Struthio camelus: one gene and its partner. The protein of the gene in region 1 interacts with the protein of each later gene in a pairwise test. Links are inferred from orthologs where the notes say so. Each region holds a gene or a part of one and is shown on either strand. Other genes may lie near its edges. The genes, in order: NPAT and HINFP.

Region 1 (11,802 bases):
ATCTTAGAATCTTCCCTAATATATATACTCCATTCACTGTAACACATTATATTTAAGCTGTGAAAAAGACAGTCTTGGCATACTTAATTATCACGGTTCTTAAAAGACTACACCATGGTAACCTTAAACACAAAGAACTGTACTTGAAGCTGCTGGTGCTGAGTTGTCTCAGAAGGGGTAGAGAACAATCTATGAACCAAAATGTCATTCTGAACAAAAAATTTAAGTGTATGATCTTGTTGCACACCATTGGTACAGCACTCAGATCTGCATGACTTCAGCTTGACTTGTCTTTGTTCTTATGGACTAAAGACACAAGAATAAGATTAAGAGCACCTACCCTGGGTTAACAAATATGCACCATCCTGGAACAAAGTGCACAAAGATGCAAACCTGAACAGAGCTGTTGCCTAAAGTACAATTACTATTATTAACTTTCATTTCATATTTATTTGTTCTGTTATTTTAGGTGAAACAGAGAAATAAAATTTTCAAATTATTGCTATCGTTTACTGTACCTTTCTGTCTTGTTTACTTGTAGCAACTCCTACAGCACATGCCTGACAAAAGCACTTTACTGAATTGCAAGTATTTTGCGCTGCAGTGAGTTTTTTTTCTTTATGCTATAATATCATCACCTTTCTATGAAAAATAGGAAAAAGGTATCTCTTGAGAAAAGGAAGAGAATCAAAAACTTAAAGAATACGAATAAATCCTTTCTACTTACAGTTGTTAGTCTAATTCTTCCTGGCCATAGCTTGGTTCTCAATTCCCTTCCCCCACTGCTCCCAAAGTATAGATGACTAGACACTTGTTAACGAAATAAGAAGTTCCATGCTCATACGTGTATCACGATCACTGATCTCAGAAGAGTTCCACACACTTTCAATATTGTGGACAAAATCCCAGACTACATGATTGAGTGGTACGTTAGAAGAATGGAATGCAAAACGGGAAGAAGATACACATACAAATATCAAAAGTTTGATATATAGCAATATCCAAAACCTATAATTTTGTTACTAACTAAAAAAATCTCAGGTCATATATGCTGAAAGTGCAAAGCATCAAGTTGTCCTGTAGTTATATGCACCTATCTACGTACGCAGCTGCACGTTGTATTTATACCCATGCCCAAAGTTCCACGTTTCATCTGGCACAAAGCAGATCATACTGATTAAAGGGGAAGCTGAATCAAAACATAGCTGTTTTCACCAATTTTTGACACGCTCAAATAAAGCTGAGGCACCTTACCTAAATTAGTATTTACATGAAAGAGAACATTACCGACTGCTGTATCTAAAAAAAAAGGAAGTGATCTTCAATAAATCACTAGAGCAATCCTGAAATCAATTAAAATGCTTGGAACACCCTTGTATATATCAATCTTGAAAACAATGAAGCAGACTAAATGTAACATGCTGAACACAATTGGCATATTTTCCTCTTAACTATTTATTAGTAATGTTAAATATTGAAAGATGCTGAGAAATAGAGATGACCATCAAACTAAACAGCTTAAGCACCATTTGAGAAGCAACTGTTACACTGTTCATATGTATTCTGAAAAAAACTCTGAAAACTCTTTTTGGGGGGAAAAAAAGGCTTCTCTTCCGCGGCTGTAACACAATTTAACTTGCTGTGTTACAAATACAAACTCACCAGCAAGCAGGCCGGAATAAACCCATCCTCTGTACAGTGCTCTGCATATTCTTTCAAATCTGAGCTTTCCAAAATAAATTCACGGCAGGTAGCTAAAAGCTTTTCCTGTTGTAAATACCCTGCAATAAATCAGACAGAAGACTTTGCTATTTTATTCATTATTTCTGCATGTTGTGCTTGGTAGGTATTGAAGCATTAATACGACCAACTATATGATATAACGTTGGAACAATTAGATAAGGATTCATGCATTAGATAAGGAAACTGAAGTCATTATGAAAGAACACCTATCTTGCAACGTATTCCTTTAATAGTTAAAACCAGAAAGAGCACATATTATTAACATTGTACTGGATTTACAAACTGTTCAAGACTAGAAGTGAGACAATATGAACAATTTCTGACTGATCGTTAGTACACATAGCACTGTACAGACAAGAAAGAAAATATCAACTTCTTAAGTCAGGAATAAACTCACACATGGGTTTTGATTATAAACATCTAGTTTTATAAACAAATAGAATTCTATAGTACTGTATTAATAAAATGCATTGCTGTGCAGCAATAACTCTCCATAAATTCTCCAGCTTCAGAACAGGTAGAACATATGCATCGTTAAGACAGCGCATTAGATTTCTTCCAAAAATGACATTATATAAAAATTATTTTTACAAAATCAGTATTTTGTTTTTCTACTTACCGTAATTTTCATTTTTAATAGGTATTCTAGTGTACACTTGTACACTTTATATACCCTACCCCAAGACTCAGTAGTTATCTTACCAGGAACTATACTGAAAAAGTTCACTTTTTCAAAATCCCAGTCCTCAGTTAATATGCTCTTTTAAGGTATTTTAAATCCCGCTTTAATCTTCAAATAGTCTAAACGCTAAAAGGTAAAGCTAGATCAATCTGAGTAAAGGATTACAGAACAAAAGAGCCATAAAACAAAATATCGTGCCTTTTCTTTCTTATCTGTAGCAGAACTGCATACGCAATCGTTTAAAGAGTTAAAATACACATACCTAATCATATTCACACAGAACCCCAAAACAGCCTGCCTCAGTTCAGGAAAGTCCATAGAAAAATCCTGCCTTTAAGTTCACATGAAGACATAATATCTTTTATCAGATCCAAGCATAGCTAGAAAAAGTAGATCAGCTTTCACACTCACAGGCCTCCGACAAATAAACTTCAAAGTTAAACACAGTTTGAGAATAACTGCTGAGAGTTTCATTAGGATGTACGAGCTAGCCCATATGGGACAAAATGTAGTTGGCACCTGCGGAATAGAGAGGGCTGCCATATTTAATGTTTCAAATACATTTTGTTAGAAAATCCTCAAACCACAAATTGCTAGAAGCTGAGGGCACACTGGGGGAAATACACCTACATGCCAGTCTTATGCCTGTCTGCTGTACCATCCATTGCTGACCAGTATTACAGACAGGGCATTAAGCTAGATGGGAGTTCGACTGTAAGAACAGCCATACCAGCACAGATCAAACCCATCTTCTGGATCTTTGCTAAAAAACAGTTGCAATTTCTTTCTTGAGCCTCCTATTGCGAAGGATGACTGAATGCCAGCACACAGGCCTATTTGGCACATACATCAATTTCCTGCAGATAACGGCGACTGAACTTAAATTGTCTGTGCACGTACATTACAATAACAGAATCATATACAACCTTCAACATTACCAAAAACAAGTTAGAGGCACAAAAGGAAGAGTGCCTGCTGAACTAGAAAGTATTCAACATTTTGTTCTATCTTAATATATGTGAAGACCTATGGTCTACCTTACAGTACTCATTCACTCTTTACCTAGAAAACGATAAATTTGCTTATGCCTTTTTCTACAGGCAAGCTCATCTTACCATTTTAGTTCTGTTTCTTAAATCAATACTCATCAACACTCACAGCACCAAAAAGACTTTGCTAGAGAAAAACAAAAAAAAAAAAAGGAAGAGGAACTGCGCTAGGAAGCCTGTTGATCTGCTCAGAATTCAGATGCCTCAGAGAGGAGCAATCGCTATTAGAAGACAAAAATAACTGTTAAGAATATCCTGTTCTACAATCTTGGGTTGCTCAGAGATTTTCTAGGACTACTGCATGCACTACGCCACAACAGACGCAAGATAGGACGGAGCATCCTCAATACACGCGAAACGTTCAAAATTTTTATTCTATCTACAAGTCTCTACGCAGCACGTGAGATAAACTGTTTACTAAGAAACTTACAACTTAACCAAAATTTTATCGAAAAGTATAGCAAGTAAATGGCCAAAAAGAGATATCCCGCGCCAAATTGTAAGTGTTCTTTTACAATGCACAGAATTTGAAAAAAATCCTATTACTTTGCAATAATAAAAACAATGTTTCTGTTGTTACGCTCAGTTCTCGAAAAGCAACAACAAACGTTTCAGGTAGCGTTTAAAAATAAATAGAACTGCAGACAGACGAAAGAAAAGATTCAGCCTCACTGGTTTTTGACTGGCAAAATCTGCCCAGGCTGTCTGTGCACCTGAAAACAGCATCTTGCTATGAAAACTGCCAGGAAATCTTAGCGACCTGGACCAGTACCTGCTGACAGCGTACCTATTACATATAGGGGTCCTACTTCCAATCCACGGCCACTTGCTCTCATCTTTGGCTGTGACCAAACATTGCAAGCGTAAAGTCTTTTTAGCAGTTTATCCTCCCTGCTGTCAAGGTCCTGAAAACACTTGTTTTATGCTTCCCACGGACGCAGCGCGCACCACAGAAGGGAGTTCTCGATCTGACCTCGCGGCTCACGGAAACAGGGAAAGAAAAACCAGCTGAACCCTCACCTGTTCTCATCTGGCCTCTTGGACCACCGGGATTGGTGCTGAGAGCAGAGGCTCCCCCCAGTCTCGCCCACCAGCCCCCGCCCGCACAAGGAGGCGGCAGAGCCCACCGGCCTTCCCGGGAGTCACCTCAGCGCCGCTCCCGGGCGGCTCCCGACGCAGCACCCGCCCGAGCACAACGTGGCGCCTCCACCTGCCCCGCCGCTGCCTTCGCGGGGGCCGAAAGCCGCCGGCGAACCGGCCGCGCTCCCCGCTAAAAGCGGGGCCCAAGGCCGCCCGACCGCCCCGGGGCGGCCCAGGCACTGCGCCTCGCCGCGGACACGGGTGACATCCCCGGCGGCGGGCGGCCACGGCCCGGCGCCGGCCGAGGCTCAAGGGCGCAGCGGCTGCCTCCGCGCGCCTGCCGCCCCGAGCGCCCTGTCAGCGGCCGGCGGAGCCCCCTCCTCGCTTCTCCTCGCCTCTCCCCTCCCCTCGCCCTGCGCGGCCGCGGTCGCGGCCGCCTCCGCGGGCCCGGCGGTGCCCGCCCCGCCCGCGCGCACTCACCCAGCACCAGCCGGGCCACGTCGGACGGCAGCAGCATGACCCGCGGCGCGGAGGGGCAGGCGGCGCGGGCGCGGCGAACGCGGCCCCCCGAGGCGCGGCGCGGCCGCCCCGCCACCCAGGGCAAGGCGCGGAAACTCCGCCAGCCAGCGCCCCGCCCGGCCCCTTCCGCCGGAACCCGCCGCCGCGCATCCGCTTCCAGGTCCGCCGCTGCCGCCGCCCACACGTGCGCTGCGCTGCGCTCCTCTCCTCTCCTCTCCTCTCCTCTCCTCGCCCGCCGCCGCCGCCGCGAGGGGGGCGCGCGCCGCCGCCGGCCGTTAAGCCGCCGCCGCGCGCCCGCGCTGCGCTGCGCTCCCCTGACGCCGCTCAGAGGTGGGCCTGCTCCTGCCCGTCCGTGCCCTCCCGATGCCTGCCCCCGCCCCGGCTGAGGGGCTGCTCGAGGCGCGGTCCCCGCGCGGGTGCTGAGGGGCGGCCCGCGCGGCGGGTGGCGGGCGGCGGGGAGGCAGCGGGCGGCGGCGGCGGCCCGGCGCTCGCCTGGCGGCGGGCTGGGGTGGTCGGCTGTGGTTACCCGCGAGGTGGCGGTTGGGCCGCTGTAGCGTAGCTCGGTGAGGAGCGCTCGGTGCGTGTCTGCTGTTTTTAAAGGGCTCCTTCCTTGTCCCACTTGTCCCAGGTATTTTTTTTTTTTTTTGAAAGGGGATGAGTGCCGTCATGATTTGGTAGTTGGCGACTGGGCTGCAAAGAGAAACGGCAAGTGCGTACAGTGTTAGGAACTTGTCACTGTTGTTGTCATGGTAGTTAAAATACCTTTAAATGCCAGTAAAAGAAGACGCGGCCCTCTTTCTTCTTGAGCCCCAGTCCCTACAACATACAACCCCGTGTTGCCACAGTTCTCAGTCAACCCTTAATTTTTCATCCCATCAATGTTTTAGAAGCCTTTAGCATGTGAAATGTTGTTTCTTGCTTTCGGTTATTTTCGGCATAAGTAGCAAGTTAGTAGAGGAATGCTTCCTTGCTTAACTGAGCTTAGTTGTACGCCAGAGCAGGCCTTTCAAGCTTGCCATAGGTTCCTTTTCCTCAATACCTAACTAGCCACCATCCCTTTCTGGTCATGTTTACTCAGCTCCATTTCCGTGTTGACTGTCTCCATCCATCTTAGCTGCTAGCTGCCACTACTACATGGTGGTGCCTTAACGTTGTGTTTCACGGTTGTCTTGAGTTCTCAGTTCTGGTCACCTTTAAGACACAGATTTACAAGGAAGAGAACAGGAAGGTGGGCACATGAATATGTGACAGGAAAAAGGCCATTCAAGTCGTGATGTTCCCATAAATCCTAGCACTGTGATAAGATGGAAAGATGATCTTAGGGGATTAAAGACAGAGGTTCGAACTCTTCTAGAGGAACAAGAGCTCTCAATATTCAGAGTTTTATGCACAGGACTATCTGTCAAGTTTGACCTTTTGTCAAAGAACGTGCTCAGTATTTTTTTTTCCTGTGATGCGCTGTATAGATGGCATAAACGTCAAACATTTGAAATCTGCTGTTTTGTTTTTGCTTTGGGAAGGGTATATGTCAGGGACCCCTGCCCCTGGTTATTCCACAGATTGGTCAACTCTTCTGTCCTTTTTCTCCTCACCTCGGTTTTTAATGCGGTCAAAGTAATCACGTGGATTATAAAGCAGTCAAAATAATTTGCTATTAAAATGTGGTTTCCAGACATATATGAAGAAACCCATTTGTCTCAGCGTGATCTCTGTTGAATCCAAAGAAGATGAAAGCAAGATGATGTTTGTATAAGACGGTAGATCTTTAAAGTTTTAACTGCCTTATTCAGCTAAATGGTTATTTATATATTCTTACTTAAGTGTTCCGGGGCCAGTGATGTGCATCATGTATGCCAGTTCTCAGCTTCATACTGCAGCTTCAGCAGCATATGCTTGGTGTTACTTCCAGCATGTCCATCTCTGTTTTTCAGATAAGAGTTTGTCCTGAGGCTAGTTTAAGGGAAAGGGTACAAGGAGAAGCATGGACGCTGCATACAATTTCATTGTCATGATCTGCGTCAACATAATTTTCTGGAAACCAGAAATGTAAGGTTGATCTGATTCGGACGTATGTTAAAAGAGGTAGGGCATAATCTTAAGTAGTAATAGAAGCAAAAAAGTATTTTTCTCCTGTCGTTGATATTTGAGCATCTTGTGGTATTTGGAGTCCAGAGGCATTTGTAAATATAATGGTGCATAGCTGTATAATAGAGAAGGTTAGAGTGGAAGAAAGTTTTATTTTCAAAGAGCTGCCTTTTCCTCATCAGGTTAAAAGTGCTTCTGATAACTGCTATGTCCTGAAAGTTAGTGCTGTTTGCCTGATTAAAATGACATAGAGCCGAGTGTGTTCTCATTACCGTTCATGTTTCAGTCTGTATTGTCTCATCGACTCTCTGCTCTTTCATTAGCCTTAAAAAGAAGGAAGTCAGTCATGTGAAAGGACCCTTTTCTGTTTTTGTCCACAACTACTGCTCTTCGGAATAGATTGCATTCTTGACATGACACTTTCTACTTCTGTCTTGTGAGCAATAGCACCAACCCAGAGAGGAATGAGCTTTTGAGTGAAGTAAAGCTGTTGTATTTGACATGGAAATGCAATATATTGAAAATTCAAAATTTTGAACTGATTGACTTGGCTCTGTGTTAAATAAAATAATTTATTTCATCCTTTTTTTCTGTTTGCAGATGCAAATGACTGTCCTGTTAAACTGAACCATGAGTCTTGTGTTACATGATCTGCTCGTTTGTTGCCGTCACCTTGAGAATGATAAAGCTACAGAGCGAAGGGTAATAAGGTTTCTTCTGGTATATATCATTCTCAATGAAGGGAATGATTAATAACCTTTTTTTTCCTGAAATACATTTTCAGAAAGAAATTGAAAATTTCAAGCGACTGCTCCGTGATTCTGAAACAGTTCTCCAACTGGACCGGAATTCTGATTCTAAACAAGCAAAGCAACTCAGCTGGGATGCTGTATTTGGGTAGGTTCTTTTACTGTCCAGAGCAAAGCATTTTTCTTCTTTTTTTTTTTTTTTTGGTGAAAGGTCATGTTTCTTGCATGGAACATCACTATTTTGTTTATCAGGCTTATTTAAATGCTTATCTTCCTGCGGATTGATTGAGGCTTCTTGTCAGTCAAGAAATGACTTATGTTACTCTCTAAAAGAAATAAATCTAAAATAGCCAAATAATGCATCAATCATCTGAGTACAACACTTTCCACTTACAGAAGATGCAGGGGCACACAGCACGTTGTAAATGTACAAACACTAGAACCGTCTCCTGAGAAACTGATTGTTAATAGGTGGTTAGCTTTTCTTGCAAAAATAATAGTTACTTTCTGTTACTGAAAAATATCCTCTGCATCTGACTTTCAATTTATAGTTCATATGTCGATTTTAAGTATCTCATTTAAAATTTTTCTGTAACTGAATTCTTCAAGACACAGCAGAAGGACTGTGCCTTATAAGCTAAAGAGGTCATGCTGTGAGGTTTGTAGAGGCCCATCTTTGATATAATTGCTTTAGGTGTACTACAAGATTGGACTGAGTGGGAGCGGGATAAGTTTTTAGAGCAGTTGGGCCCACTGCAGTTTTCATATTAAAGTGTGTCTGAAGTATTAGTTTTTACAGATTGGCATCTGGGCAGATTTACAGAATATTTTTTAATTGGATGGCATTTGAATGGGTCTTGTTTTACACCTGTAGCAAAATACTGTAAGAACTTTTCAGTAAATTTCTTATGTTGCTTTTGAGATGGCCAGACTCTAAACTGAATACAAATAACAAGCCAGAAAATCTACAGAAATTGCAACAAAGCCAGTAAAACGTTTAATCTATTTGTATTACATATTAACTTTAAATGATAGAGAATTGTTATTGTAATAAATGGATAATACCTTCTCCACACTGCTGGAAGGTTTGTATTTTTTCAGGAAGTGCATATCTATTAAGTCCAAAAATATTCAGTTAAAACATCCAGTCGACTGTAAGTGAGCTTAAAAGCAGAAGGACTTCAAGGTTTTCCCCAATACAGCCAGTAAAAAGTATTTCTTACTATTTTGTGCTATAAGTCGCAGCATAAATAACGATATTGTTTTTTTCGTTATCATGGATTGTATGTTTAGCATTATGCAAAGTATGTAGGAATATTCAGTTCTTATCCGAGTTCCTTCTGGATCATCTCAGCTCCTTTTATAAACTATTCCTATCATGGTTACGCTGTAATGTATTTTGGTGTTTAACAGAGCTTTAGAATCAGAATTGCTAAATGAGCAAGCACTTGAATTCTAAGTGCAAACAATGTTTACTTATTTTACTTAGGTCAAAAACGTGCAGATTCTTGATTAATGTCTCTGGTGTTTTTTTTGAAGAGTCCTGCAGAAATATTTCCAGAAAGAGATGGAAAGCTTCAGACTGACAAAACCAAATGTATCTGTTTCAACGCAAACTTCCAGACAGAAAAAGATGCAAGAGATTGGCAGTTTGGTCAAATACTTCATCAGACGTGCTAATAAAAGTCAGTAATACATGTCCATGTAGAATCACTGATTCTTTTATTTGGTGCTTTACTTTCAACTGTGAATTTTTGCTCTGAAGCAAGTTGTCAGGGTGGGGTTCATCTTGCCCACTCTCAGTTGTTTACAAATTAAATATCTTTATTTGCATTAGTTCTTTGTATGACTTACCTTGTTGATGTTGACAATGCCTTTTTAATTATTTGCTTTGCCTATAACTGGTGTATCCTTTCTCTTCTTGTAAGTAATTTTGTTTTTAGAGACAGTTTGTTTAAAAATATGATCTCCAGCAAAACTGTTTCTGAACTGCATTTTTTTTTTAATAGTGAATATGGAAATGATCATTTTGCAAGCAATTAATTCCGGGTTTGTTATGCAAGCTTTGGATTAATTGCAATGCTCACTTTGTTTCTTTACATAGGAGGACCCAGACTGAAGTGTCAGGAACTTCTGAATTATGTCTTGAAAATCATGAGAGATGCAACAAGTTGTGCAGCTTACGGAGCTGACTGTAGTAGTATACTCCTAAAGGATATCCTTTCAGTAAGGAGATACTGGTGTGAGATATCCCAGCAGCAGTGGTCAGGTAACATTTTTAAGCCTACTTACGAGTGTCTTTTCCTATTATGAAAGTATGTTTAGATGGGTTTTAGTTGTCTGATGCTATTACTGCAAAGCCCTGTTGCGTGAGGTACTACACATTGTATGAGGTACGAGACAAAACACATGAAGAAAGGTAGGGTCAGCCCTGAAGACTTACAACTGAAATAAAATCAATCGTTAATCTTTATTGCTTTGCTTCTTTTTGCATATTATTTGTCTATTTCCTGCTGAAACGTAAGTGTTTCTATACAATGAGTATATGTATGCACGTTTTCTGCAGGAGATAACATATATTACGAATCCATGGAGTTTGTATAGAAGAAATAGTCTCAGTAAAACTGGTCTTGGTGTACAGTTGTTGGCAAGTTGTTATTAGGTATTGACTGCTATAGGTTTGATATAGTTAATGTACTAAAATTAAATTTTATTATCTGAGTTTTATTGGCTCACGAAGGCCCTAAAAAGCGTGGATTCAACGTTGTTATATGTTAATACTACATATAAAGAAAAGATGAGAACGTGTAAGGTTTAAATAGATTAAAACAGATTTAAAAGTTGGTCTGGCGTGCAACCTCCACTGCTAGGGGAAAAAGCAAACATAATTTTTTACTTTTCAGAGATTTGGTTTTGACTCCAAGACAATTAACTTATAAATGTTCTTCTCCAGGCTGGATATGTTTTGAATCATCTAACTGGCATGTAGTGAACTCTCAACTCATCTATTTTAATTTGTTTATGTAATAGCACAGATGATTAGTAACTTGAGAAAAGAAGGAATTAGAAATTTTAGTCTAGTTTGTTCAATCTCGCATGTGTAATTGTGGAGAAAGTGTAGAAGTACAAAGCACTGTGCTATGCAAATAGCAATAGAAGTTGTTGTCAGTCAAGAGTTTGGATTTCTGAAAAGTATTTATTAAAAAAAAAAATCTGCTCTGTAGCTTGAAGAGGGTTGCTTAACTCCAGAATAGAAATGAACCTGCAAAGAACTTGGAAGAGGAGTGTGGTTATAGTGAGAGTGGAGGGGGAGGTGAACAGAACTGTGATGAAGGCTAGCAGAGCACAGAGACCGAACAGTTCGGGGTAGAAGATGGGACTGGATGAATAGAGAGGCTGAGAGTGGGATCAGGGAGGTTAAAGGAGTTGATAGCATTTGGCCATGGAGGTAGGACTGGAAGTTGAAGGGGAAGCTGAAACTGTGGGGAGACTGCCTGACACTAGGAGCCAGCGAAGGGAAAAGTACAAAGGGGCTGTCAACCTACAGGCTGGAGCAGAATGCAAGGATGTGGACTGATTGGATAAGGAGGCTGGGAACTGGAGTTCAGAGCAATAATCAGAGAAGGCATCTGAAAAAGAGCTGGGTACTCAGGGAGAACTGAAGTTGGGCACAAAGGCAATGGGACAAGAAACCAGGGAAGTCCGAGACAGATATTGAAGAAGGCAGAGAAGGGAAATTGAGGCTGAGTTGCATGAGGAGCCGTGGTACAATACAGGTTGCATGAGGAGCCATGAAGAGTTATTGTTTACTAGTCTGAGGTAGTTTAGAAACATGGAAGTGAGCTGAGTCTCTTTATGAGGTATGGACTGAGGCTGGATGTCTGGGAAGAGAAAC
Region 2 (11,567 bases), on another chromosome or scaffold:
CACGCGTTTGCCAAAATCTGTAGGGACTGAGGGAATGAAACAAGCATTAGGGGAGATCAGCCAAAGCATAGGGTAGGTGGAAAAGGTTGTTAAGGAAGAAGCAAATTCATCGCCTCTTTACACGAGCGTAGGAAGGAAGCACACAAATACTGTCCTGCTAAGTTGTCACTTAGGAGCCCAACAGCGAGCAGGGCTCATTTGCAGAGAACAAAGACCAAGGTGGCCCTACCCTGTAGTTCAGCACTGTGGTACCAGGTGGTTTCCATGCAGTTCCCTCTGGGGCACACATGGCTGGATGATGGTTTTTGGCTTTTGTTTTGCCAAAGAGGGCTGGGGGTGGGGGGGGCGATCCTACGTTTCCCCTTCGGGTCAACAAAGGTGGATTTAACCCTATGGCCCCTACTGCTTTCTGCAACGATTCTGCGGTTTAGCTCCTCATTGCCTATCTGGAGCTGCTGGCGTTCAGCACATCGCTCCCTGAGCTGAGATAGATTTGATCTCTGTGGAGCAAAGGTAGAAATACCCCAGGCAGCCAGAGTGGCTCCACAGTACCGTCGTGTGACTTGGTCTGAGCAGAGCTCAGGAAAAGCAAAGGAGTTGGCTGCTCAGTCTGCTTGGTATCCACAGCAAGTACAGACAGGTTCTTGGGAGCTCTGTTGTTTTAGCAAGGGGAACAAAGCCCATAAGGCACAAAGAGGGGTACCGCGTCTTAGCCAGGTCACCCGGAGGCCGGCGGCCGGCCTGGCTTCTGTTTTCTCAGCCTCCCTGAAAGCCAGCAAAACCTGCACATCGTGTCTGTGCGACTTTTGGTGCATCTGTCCCCTTCCCCTGCCTGGGTAAATCTTTGTGAGATCTGCTGTGGGTACAGGTGTTTTGGTGCAACTGAGAGAGAGAGGTACGGCGTACAATACCAGGGGCAACTTTTTATCCTGGCTAGCAGGCTGTGCCTGCACAGAGAGCTCACACCTGTGGAGCCAGGGAGGAGTGTCCAGAAGGGCTCTCATTGAAATGTTAAGACAAGAACTCAACTTTGAAGCTAATCCCTTGGAAAACAAGAAGCCATGTTCCCTCTGAGGGAACAGAGACAGCTATACTGCAGCTGAAGTGTTTGATCTCTAAAATTGTGATTTATCATTTTCCCTTCTGCTTTTCAGGATGTGGCATTTGGTTCCATTCATCATTTTCATTCTGGTGGCATTATATCCCCAGGTGCACATGCACACGGAGAGCTTAGAAAGGGAAGCGTTGAAGGCATAAACAATGCAGAAAGTTGATGCTGGCTTGGGGTTACCCCAAATGTCTTCTGGTGGGCCACAGTGACTGCAGTTGTTGGGCAACTTCAGCTTGGGTTTGGTGTTTGAATACTGACCAGAAACTTCAGCCAAGATTGGGCACAAGGCAAATAGTCTGCAAGAGACACTCGCTGCCCCCAAAAGCTTATGACTGAAATAGTCAAAACAGAAGTGGACATTGAGTCTGTGTACGGACCAGCCAGTATTTCTGGGTAAGCCGGCGCGCGGCCAGGCATGGATATCAACTCTTCCAATTCGGAAGAATCTGCCTGTACGCTGAGGCTGGCTCTCTTCCATGGCCCTGGCACTGAGTTTCCCTCCTATGATCCCTTCCCAGGGCTGTTTTCACTGAGAGCAGTTGGAAGCAGAGGGTGCCCTGGGTACCCCGGAGTTCGGACGCTCTGGCGGCGCGTCTGGGTGTGACTGGTAGAAGCAGCGACAGCTTCTGCACCTGAAGCTTTGTGGCTTTGCCTGAGCGTTTCTTCAGGGACACAACACTGCAATTTGATGGGAGAGCGCGAACCGGGTGGTGCGGTACAGAGCGCTCCATCCTGGTTTAATACCTAAGGTAACTCAGGCAGCCTTGCTAGCTGCCTCCAGCTGAGGATTCAGGCCTTGATTCAGCTCAGCACCTACATGGGGGCTTGATATGAGGAATGTGCCTAAATTCCCAAGATTAGCTTTGGATATAAGTTTCTGAGGGGGGCCCAAGCCAAGAACACACTCTCATATTTGATTTTCAGAACAGGGCTGTTTCTGTCAGAGCATCACTGAAAAACTATGAGCAGAGATGTTCAGTAGGTGAGCGGAGCGAACGGGTTTCCTCTCAGCTAGCGTTCAGGGCTGATTTGAAGTGGAGTCTGGCAATTGTTTTAGGAGGATCAGAGCCAGTTAAAGCTCTGTGCTGTGCCCCCCCTGCCAGTAAGTTGTCACGGTACCGCAGCTGGAACAAGAGATGAATTTTTTTTATTCTGCAGTCTGATATTCCCAGATACTGCAGCCTCTTCTATTAACTGCCCTTGCTCCTCTGCGATCATTCCTCCCAGCAAGCGTCTGATGCTCTGCACTTCTTCAGTACTGTTTTCCTATCATCATCATAACAGTCTGAAGACATTAGACAAACACTTCCACATACCCTTACTTTTACGCATGGGTACGCTGCTGTTGAAGTTACTTTGCTCATATGCCCATAAATTATGCCTAGGCTCAAATCTTCATAAGTAAGCAAGATAAGAGCCCTGTCCTCTGACCCCTTGTTTAGCTAAGTAGTCTGGCATCATGTAAGTGACTCTGTTGGTTTCAGTGAGTCATTCTGCAGGATCTGATCCGGAGCTATTAAAATGCTAAATAAGCCTGCTATTGGCAGCACCAGGGAAGGAAATGCTAATTTCCTAATTTAGGCCAGGTTTTATATATTTTTCGAGTAAATTGAATTGTATTTCACATCATTGTGGTTCAGCTCTCTTTCAGAAAAATATTACTCTGTGAAGGAATATGAATTCTGTTTAGAGGAGGCTGAACATGCTAATAGATATTGTTAAAATATTGGGCTATTAAGATCCCATATGTTGGTTTTAGACAATTCTGCTTTCTGAATTGATTTTACGTGAGCCCACAGATAACATGGTACAGTCTTTCCACAGTTACTCTTTACCATCAATATTTCCATTAAGATACATCTTTATATGTTGGAAAGTCAAGGTGCTGGGACTCACCCATTTCCGTTCTGGCCGCTGCTGACTAATTCCAGCTCTCAGATTCTGCAGGACTTTGGAGAAAGGCCGTCATGGGCTTCCCGGAGCAGAGTGAAGTCAGTGCTCATTCTCCGCTGATAACCAGCTGAGCCCGATGGAAATATGTTGTCTCAAATTTAGTGATGTCTCCACAATAGCTTGTGTGAGATTTGCTTAAATGCAAATATCTCCCATGTGCGTTTCACTCCCATTTGAATGGTCAGTGTGGATCAGTCTCAAAGGGTCTTTTTTCTGTCTAAGCTGACATGTCATGGATGAAAACTGAGCTGAGGTTTATCGATGGAAAAGTCTTTGGCTAAAATGAAAGGCCAGTAAGTCCTGCAGTGATGAGCTGTCTCCTTAGAGGAGAGGAACCTGGCTGCAGAACAAGGCTTGGAGCAAGAGCTCCAAGTGTGAGGCATCCAGGTGCTGCTGAAGAGCCGCATGGCAGTACTGTCCCACAGGGACCGCACAGGCTAGCTTAGGCGTTACACAATTAAAACTAGATCTAGGAGACGTGATGAACTCAGCAGGCTTTCCTGCTGGAGAGGGGCACAACTCGTAGCTGGGGACACCGGCGGGGGTGTCCTTTAGCAAACCCACATATTCCTGCGGGGAGGCCAGGGTTGGGCTTGCCGTTGTCCAGCCGGGAGCCCCCTTTCTGGAGAGCTGTGGTTAGTCTCCTGCCTGGTGACAGCAGGGGAAATGACGGCTAGGAAAGGACCTGTTCTTACGCTGCTCCTGGACCCAGAGAAAAGGGACTTTTGGCCTGGCTGGCTATAGCTATTCTTCTGTTCTCAGCCTCTTAACAGCAGCAAATCTACTTCTGCAATACTTGAATCAAGCAGCAGAGCTAACCCCTTAATGTTTCTTTAAATAATGCTTATGCCCTGATTCAGAAGCATATCCAAATTTCCTGTAAGGGAGCCCTTTTCCCACAGAACAGCTAGCACAACCCAGGAATAAGTTGAAGACTGGCTGCAGTGAGACAGCCAATCTCTGTAGCGTTTTGTGTGCAAGCAGAGTGGTACGTAGCAACGCGATGCTCATCTGACATGAGCACGACAAAACTGGCGCCAGTACATTCCTCACAATTAAATATTTCTCCTCTTGTGGAGCCCACTGTCAGTTTGTGGATCTATTAGATAGATCTGTCCCTCTTTGTAGTGCCATGCATTTTCGCTAGCACTGGCCCAGTGATGAATGTGGCCTGTCACTTACACTGCCTTCCCGGGGGAAGGCTATTAGTTTTTTAAGCGTATTTTTTTTTTTCTTCAGAGGAAAAATAAACTAAAAGGGGCAGCTGCTGGAAAGCTGCATATGTTCAGGCCGTCATGGAAAGCGGGGAAGGCAAAGCTGAAGTATCATAGAGAATAATTCCCCATATACTTAATGTACAGATTCAGGTATTCTGGCTGCTCAGATACAGAGCTCATGACCGAGAGGACACCGCACAGAAATCTGATGGAAAACTAGCTCCTGCACACAGAGTCTGTGGTCGCTTATAGTCCCCCTCCCTGTGGATGAGTCTTGTTTTGGCCAGTGCGTTACTGCCACCCCTCCTGGTATCCGCAGGTCCCTCGGATTTGCAGACAGCTAGTGGAAATGGCAGGAAGCACCAGGCAGGTCGGGGAAACCGGGCAGAGGTAAGGTCGCAGCAGAAGAGGGCTGTTTTTGCATTGTGAGCAACAGGCGTATTTTGCCCCCTGCCTCCTGGCAGACTTCCCGCCTGGGTTTGTCTCCTGTGCTGGACATATGTTTGCTTTGGGCAGGATATACAAGTGAAATCCTGGCTCCATGCAAGCTCAGCCTGACCGTTGCAGCTGTAGCACTGTCCGCCCAGGCCAGGTGTCTTCACCACCGATTACAAAATAATTGCATTAAAAACAGCAACTGATCCTGCAGAAAATAATTAAGCAGAGATGAAATAAAAACTCATCCTGCCTTCTCTTAGATGACACCCATCTCTTTTCTTATGTTTCCCTTTGCAAAAGCCTCAGGTCCAGGTTTACTCTACAGTTTAGTGCCTTTCATTCATCTTATCGGGTAGAGCCAGGGCATACAACAGGAATTACAGAAGCAATTGTGTATTGACAAGGCACACTTTATGACACATTTTATACAATCCCACTTGATTTTAGCATGGTGCCAAAGCAAACCTCACTAAGAATTATAGCTCTATTTTGTACTACAAAAGCCTGGAATAGCAGATGCAATATTCAACGTATATTTGTTTAATTCAAACTGTCATTTCAATCTGTCTTCTCATTACCAAGTGAAGAAAAAAAAAAAAGGTCTTGCATTATCTCACAGCAGGAACCGCAGTACTGATGGACAGTAATAGCGTTTGTACTCTGTGTTGGCCAGGGCATGCAGCTGTGCGTTATGCGATTGTAATCTCCCCTGGTGAGAGGAGTTGCTTGTTGAGACAACAAATAGCCACAGTGTTTGCCCTGGACATCCTCGAAATGAGCGAAGGCGCTAAAAATGAACGAGAGCGGCAACAGGGAGGCATTTGCGGCGCTTCACGCTCCGTCGCTGCGCCAGCCAGGCCCCGCGTGCAGCCTCCGGCTGCGCCCAACGCCGCTCCCCGCTCCCAGGACGTGGCTTCACCGAAAGCCACGTGGGTTAGTCCCGCTGCTGTCCAGCACGGTTGCGCTTATGGATCAAGTCAAGCCCGTGCACAAGGCCCTGCCGCGGTGGGCTTGCGCCGGGACGCCGCAGCAGCTGCTGCCGGACCCCCATTTTGGGCATTTTGGTGGGGCAGCCAGGAAGGCTTCGGTCCCGGTGAAGGGGTGCGAGGGGTGTCCCGGGGGGATGCTGCTGCGCTCTGGCCAGGCCCTGGGGGTCAGGGGTCACCCTGGGGGTCAGAGGTCACTCCTGGAGGTCAGGGGTCACACCAGGCGGGCTCATGAGCAGGCTGCGGGGGGGGGGGAGAAGGTCCCGGAACCTTTGCGCGCCGGACGCTCGTTTCCGCACGGGTCCGCTCGGCCGCCGCACGCGCGGGGCCGCCTCCTGCCTGGCGATTGGCTGGCGGCCGGGCGGAGGCGGCTGCTATTGGTCGGGCGGGCGCGGTCCGTTGGGATCCGGCGCCCCCAGGTGGGGGGGGAAAGAGCTCGGCGGGGGCCGGTCGACAAGTGCGGGCGGTTTTCCCGCCCCGGCGCGGGCCGCGGCGGCGTCTCCCGGCTGCGGGGCCACCGGATCCCCCCCCCCCCTCCCCCGCCCCGGGGCTGCGATCCCTCGCTCCGGGCCCGGATCCCCCCCCGGAGGGCCGCCCCAGGGAAGGGTGAGGGGCCGGCTGGGCCAGCACTGCCCGCTGTCGTGGGCTCGGCCCCGGCTCCAGCCGCCACCGTGAGCCCTCGCAGGGACTGCCCTGCTGTCACCGAGGCCTGCCCGGCAGCGTCCCAGGGGCGCCCTGGCCGGTTTGGGGTGAGCGGGGCAGCGCGGGAGACGTTCCTGCCCTGCCGCCATGCCTCCTGGAAAGGGTGGCAGGAAGGAAGCCTTGGTGCTGCAGTGCGAGTGGGAGGTTTGTTCCTACGTGGCCTCGAGGATGGAGGAGTTCTGTGAGCATGTGGCCCAGCACTTGCAGCAGCACCTTCCCAGGGAAAACCGGGACAAGGTGGACCCTCTCGGTAAGAAGTTACCGTCTTTGTTGTTTGTAGTGGGTCATAAGTCCTCTTCCTTCTCTGAGTTTCTTCACTGTGGGAAAAATGTCCTTTTCCTTAAGGAGAGTGGCTCTGCCGGTTGCGCAACTGGAATCTTATGGGGAAAAAAAAAAAAAAAAGAATTTCTCAGCCTACAGGGATCTGAGCTTTATTTGGGAGAGTTTCCCAAAATTTTATACGCTGGTGTCTCCTGTTTGTGTTGCAGAGGAATACGCATGTCTGTGGCAGGAATGTGGTTTCTGTTCGCCAGAAAGCTCAGCTGACCTCATCCACCACGTCTATTTCCACTGCTACCACACCAAGCTGAAGCAGTGGGGGCTCCGGGCTCTGCAGAGCCAGTCAGACGTGAGCTACTGCCAGCTGGATTTCCAGAGCCGCAATATCATCCCTGAGATCCAGGATAACTTCCTATGTCTGTGGGAGTACTGTGAGGTCAGAGCAGGGGAGCCAGTTCTACTTTCCTAAGTGTTGTCTGTGACTTGGCAGTGAAGGGGAAGAGAGCTGCGCTTTCCTGCATGCCTGCATGTTTGCTGTGTTTGTGCCTGGGGGGAAGTGTCTGTTGTGCTCTGGCTGAGGCAGGCTCGCGCTGATCTCTTCACCCTGTTCCCTCTGTCCCCGCAGAGGTCGTTCGATAATCCTGAGTGGTTCTATCGGCATGTGGAGGATCACAGTTTCTGTTCTGAGTACAAAGCAGCAGGGAAGGAGAACCGTGTGGTCCTTTGTGGCTGGAAAGGTCAGTGGGAGCATGCAAGGCCTTTCCGGAGAGCTCTGCGTGGGGCTGGATTGTGAGGGCTGTACAGGAAAGCTCTGCTCTCTTTGGTAGGCTCTCAGAGAGCCCCTCTTACTTCAGGAGCATGTGTGTAGTGCTGACAGTGAAATGCTCCTGTACAGTTTCTTTCAGGGGATCCAATGGTCTATTTCATATTAAACTTCTAATTTATAGTTAATTAGTACGTAGGAGAAGAGGCTCTGGTTTACTTGTTAGAATAATTGCTCTCTTCTGAGTTTGTGCAGTTGTCATAGCCGCTTGTGGGGTGAGGGGACCCGTGCTGGGTGTAGACTAGTGTCCTGATCATTCTGTATCTGTGCTGCATGGGCTCTTTTGGAGCAGAGCTGGTCCTGGCACAGGCAAGCAAGCTACCTGCTGTTCAGTCAGGTTGTGGAGCCTGAGACTCCTCTGTGGCCTGTCATAGGATGGAACAGACTCGGTAACTTTGTGAAGGATCCTAACGGTGTTCTGTTGTTTGTGTTCAGACTGTGATTGCACCTTCAAAGGGCGCTGCAAGCTGCGGGAGCACCTGCGCAGCCACACGCAGGAGAAGGTGGTGGCCTGTCCTACCTGCGGGGGGATGTTTGCCAACAACACCAAGTTCTTTGACCACATCCGTCGGCAGACCGCACTGGACCGTAAGCTCCTGCAGGCCCAGGGAGGAGTGGGTTGTAAGCAGGCGTGCTGGATTCCCTTGTGCTGTGTTGGAGAAGTGTGTTGCGTTTGCGACGGTTGCTCCCCGGTTCCTGCTACATTGGCAGCACAGGGCAAGCTGCAAGGGTGGAAGACAGATTGATCCTTAAAAGTGGTTTTATGTTTTGGCTTTGTGGTTAGTGTCTGCTGACTCTGGTTGCAGAGAAAGGTTCAGCAGAGCTGGGAACCTTTCTCATTTGTTACTGTTTGTGTTGTTTTCTCTGCTTTGATTTCTCTTTTTAACCACCCCTTTCCCTTCCCCCTTCTCCCTTGACCTTGATGTTGCAGAGCAGAGGTTTCAGTGTTCTCACTGCTCCAAGAGGTTTGCCACAGAGAGGCTGCTCCGTGACCACATGAGAAACCACGGTGAGTAAAGGCCCCTTCTCCCAACTGAGGCTCTGAGGAGTGTGTTCTCTCCTCTGCTCCGTGGTGATGTTTCCCACTCGTTTCTTTCGAGCAGTGAACCATTACAAGTGCCCCCTGTGTGACATGACCTGCCCGCTGCCCTCCTCCCTGCGCAATCATATTCGTTTCCGGCACAGTGAGGAGCGGCCGTTCAAGTGTGACTACTGTGACTACAGGTGAGGACCAGGGCTTCCTGTGTTTCTGGCTAGTGGCAGAGAAGTGCCCAGAGGCCTGTTTGTATATGCGCAGCACGCGCTGATCACCTTTGTTCCTTTACTGTTTCCTTGTAGCTGCAAGAATCTCATTGACTTGAGGAAACATCTGGACACACACAGCAAAGAGCCAGCCTATCGCTGCGAGTTTGAGGCTTGCAGCTTCACCGCACGCTCCCTCTGCTCCATCAAACTGCACTACCGGAAAGTCCATGAGGTAGGAAGGGAAGGAGGGGCTGTTCTGCTGTGCACTGACTCCCAGTAAAGCTGAGAAGCACTAACCATGACGTGCTGTACAGAAGCATAAGGAAAAAAGCTAAAGCCCTGTGAAGTGCCACAGGCTGACCAGGGCTGCAGGAGTGTGAGGTCAGGTTGCCTTTCTCTCTTCCTGCTGCAGTGATATGTTATGTTAGTCTTCACAGAGAACCTGATTCCTCCCTCAGTGTGTGCAGGCAGGTACCAGGCCCTCTGCATAGGCTTGTGGGGTTCTCACAATCCTCTCTGCGCTCCAGGGTGACTCAGAGCCCCGGTACAAGTGCCACGTCTGTGACAAGTGCTTCACACGTGGGAACAACCTCACTGTGCACCTCAGGAAGAAACACCAGTTCAAATGGCCCTCGGGGCATCCTCGCTTCAGGTACTGCCCTCCCTCAGCTCCTCCCTACCTCTGCTCTGGTGCAGGCAGCTAGAGCTGCCTTCTGCATCTTGCTGAAGCCAGCAGAGGTCTGGCAGTGATTGGGCTCTGATGTTTGTTTGCCTGTAATGTACTCGAGACCTGCTTCCCAGGGCTGGGAAGGAAGCCCTGGGCAGCAAGTGCTCAGTGGGATCAGACACTGGTGGAGCAGTGCTGGGTGGGAGCTCCAGCAGCGGGTCAGAGATTAGGGGTGTGGGCAGTGGTGCCGTTGCGGCTATATCCCTGAACTTGGCAGGGGCCAATTCTAGGTGTCCACCCTGGAGAGTTGCCCCAATTCAACTTCTTTCTTCTTGACAGCTGCCCCTCTGCTATGCCCTCTACAGGACTCTCTGATCTCCTCAAAGGGTTTCTCGAGCCTAAGGCTGGGAAGGAAAGAGGATGGATTTTGAATGTTCCCAGGGAAACAGGGTGGGGGAAGGAGATGGGCTTTGGAGATGATAGAGAGCAGGCAGAAAGCTCAGAAGCTGCCACATGAATGCACTTACTAGGAGGAGAGGCTCTAGGGTTTTTATCCTCCTTTGCCAGCATCATCCGTATAGTAGTGGGTGTTGGAGCCTAGAATATAGTACCCCTTCCTTGGGTGCTCTTTCAGGCTGCTGCTGTGCTCTTGGGAAGGGACTGCAGTGTAACCTGCTCCATCACCCCGCCTGTCTTTGCTCAGGTACAAAGAACATGAGGATGGCTACATGAGGCTGCAGCTGGTGCGCTATGAGAGCGTGGAGCTGACAGAGCAGCTACTGAAGGACCGTGAGAAGCAGGGAGAGGCCCTCGATGGCTCGGCTGAGTGTGTGGTGCTGTCTGAGGGTGAGGGCAACCTGCAGGCCATTGTTCTGGAGGCCCCAGCAGGGGCTCCCTCAGTGGAGAACAGTGACACTGAGCTGCAAGTGGCCCAGCTGCACCCTGCAGCCTACTCTAGTGGCAACCCTGAGACAGCAGGGCCGAGTGCCTTCGTCGGAGCAGCGCTGTCCTTGGAGCAAGAACCCAGCACCCCAACCAACCCCATCATCCGTGTGATGAACTGGACCAACGAGCTTGGGGAGAGTGAGACTGTTTATTGTGTCATAGCTGGTGAGGAGGAGCGGGCCGCGGTGCCTAGTGGGCTGGCTATGGAGCTGGAGGAGAATGTCATGGACCGTCTGCAGAAGACAGCTGAGGAGCTGGGCATCCAGATTGTGTGAGGTGCTCATCTGCCTCCCTGCGTATGGAAAACACAGGCCTCTGTGGGATGTGCTGGTGTGATCTGGTTGTGATGTGCTGGGGAAGAGGGCTGACCGGGTCTCTTCCCACGTGCAGCTGGCTAGCTTCCTTCTCTGTTGCTCCAGCCTCACTGGCTGCCAGTTCTGGTCTGTGTGGGGAGGTGGAAGGGGCTGGTCTCAGCTGCCAGACAAGAGATTTGAGCTGAAAGAGCTGTCTCCCTCTTTTAGGGATTAGGGGCAAGCCTCTCCCACCCTTCCACAAGGTTCAGTCTTTGCCTGGCCCAGGCCTTTTCTGCCTGGTTGCTCACTGGTGATGTGGTCCCTGCTGCTGTGTAGCCACGCTGTCAGGTCTTCCTGAGCCTGGTCTTCAGTCAGGACCTCCCCGAGCAGGGAGCTGTGCTGAGCAGACGCGGCAGGTGAGACCTGTGGCCCTCAGGCCTGTTCTCCCCCATACCTTGTTCCCCAAGGGGTGGCTTGCTCCACTTCTGCCTCTGTCAGCATTTCCCTTCAGGATGTCTCCTAACTCACTCAGCCAGTGCTGTTAACAGCATTTGCACTGCTGATCCCCATATACTGCATTGATCTTGTGAGAGGAGAGGGTTGGAGGTGCTACAGGCTACTGCTTCCCTGCAGCACTGGGGGTTTGGGGGCTTCCCAATGCTTTTGTTCTTCCCTGAGTTTCCTCCCCACATTGGGGTTTGGGCTCCTGACCAGGCAAAGTGTACTTGGGAGTGACTAATAAAAAGCCAGAATGCCAGGCCAAGTGGTGTGTGGTGTCTCCCTCAGCCCCATCCCGGCCAGCCAGGGTGAGTTGTGGTGTGACCAAGAGATCAAGCAGCCCAGGGCCTGCAGTGTGAGAGCCAGGCATGATGGTGCTGCCGGGAGCACTTAGTGGTGCTGCACGTTGC

What was found.
Region 2: the proteins of NPAT (region 1) and HINFP interact in a two-hybrid assay, tested with the Homo sapiens proteins (2 studies listed by BioGRID). The link is inferred for Struthio camelus from reciprocal best matches to the Homo sapiens genes NPAT and HINFP.

What each region holds. Positions count from the first base shown.
Region 1 is NC_090942.1:205,612,465-205,624,266, reverse strand, and holds the start of NPAT (protein NPAT), read right to left. Parts: upstream 5,202-11,802; 5' UTR 5,072-5,201; coding exon 5,035-5,071; intron 1,782-5,034; coding exon 1,663-1,781; intron 1-1,662. Other genes in the region: serine-protein kinase ATM, read left to right, coding at 7,789-7,860, 7,943-8,055, 9,447-9,592, 10,012-10,176. UniProt on the Homo sapiens protein: Required for progression through the G1 and S phases of the cell cycle and for S phase entry. Activates transcription of the histone H2A, histone H2B, histone H3 and histone H4 genes in conjunction with MIZF.
Region 2 is NC_090963.1:3,070,456-3,082,022, forward strand, and holds HINFP (histone H4 transcription factor), read left to right. Parts: upstream 1-6,305; 5' UTR 6,306-6,494; coding exon 6,495-6,657; intron 6,658-6,895; coding exon 6,896-7,122; intron 7,123-7,311; coding exon 7,312-7,423; intron 7,424-7,944; coding exon 7,945-8,097; intron 8,098-8,440; coding exon 8,441-8,518; intron 8,519-8,612; coding exon 8,613-8,733; intron 8,734-8,847; coding exon 8,848-8,986; intron 8,987-9,281; coding exon 9,282-9,406; intron 9,407-10,124; coding exon 10,125-10,641; 3' UTR 10,642-11,416; downstream 11,417-11,567. Other genes in the region: POU2AF2 (POU domain class 2-associating factor 2), read right to left, coding at 1-26, 3,008-3,011. UniProt on the Homo sapiens protein: Transcriptional repressor that binds to the consensus sequence 5'-CGGACGTT-3' and to the RB1 promoter. Transcriptional activator that promotes histone H4 gene transcription at the G1/S phase transition in conjunction with NPAT.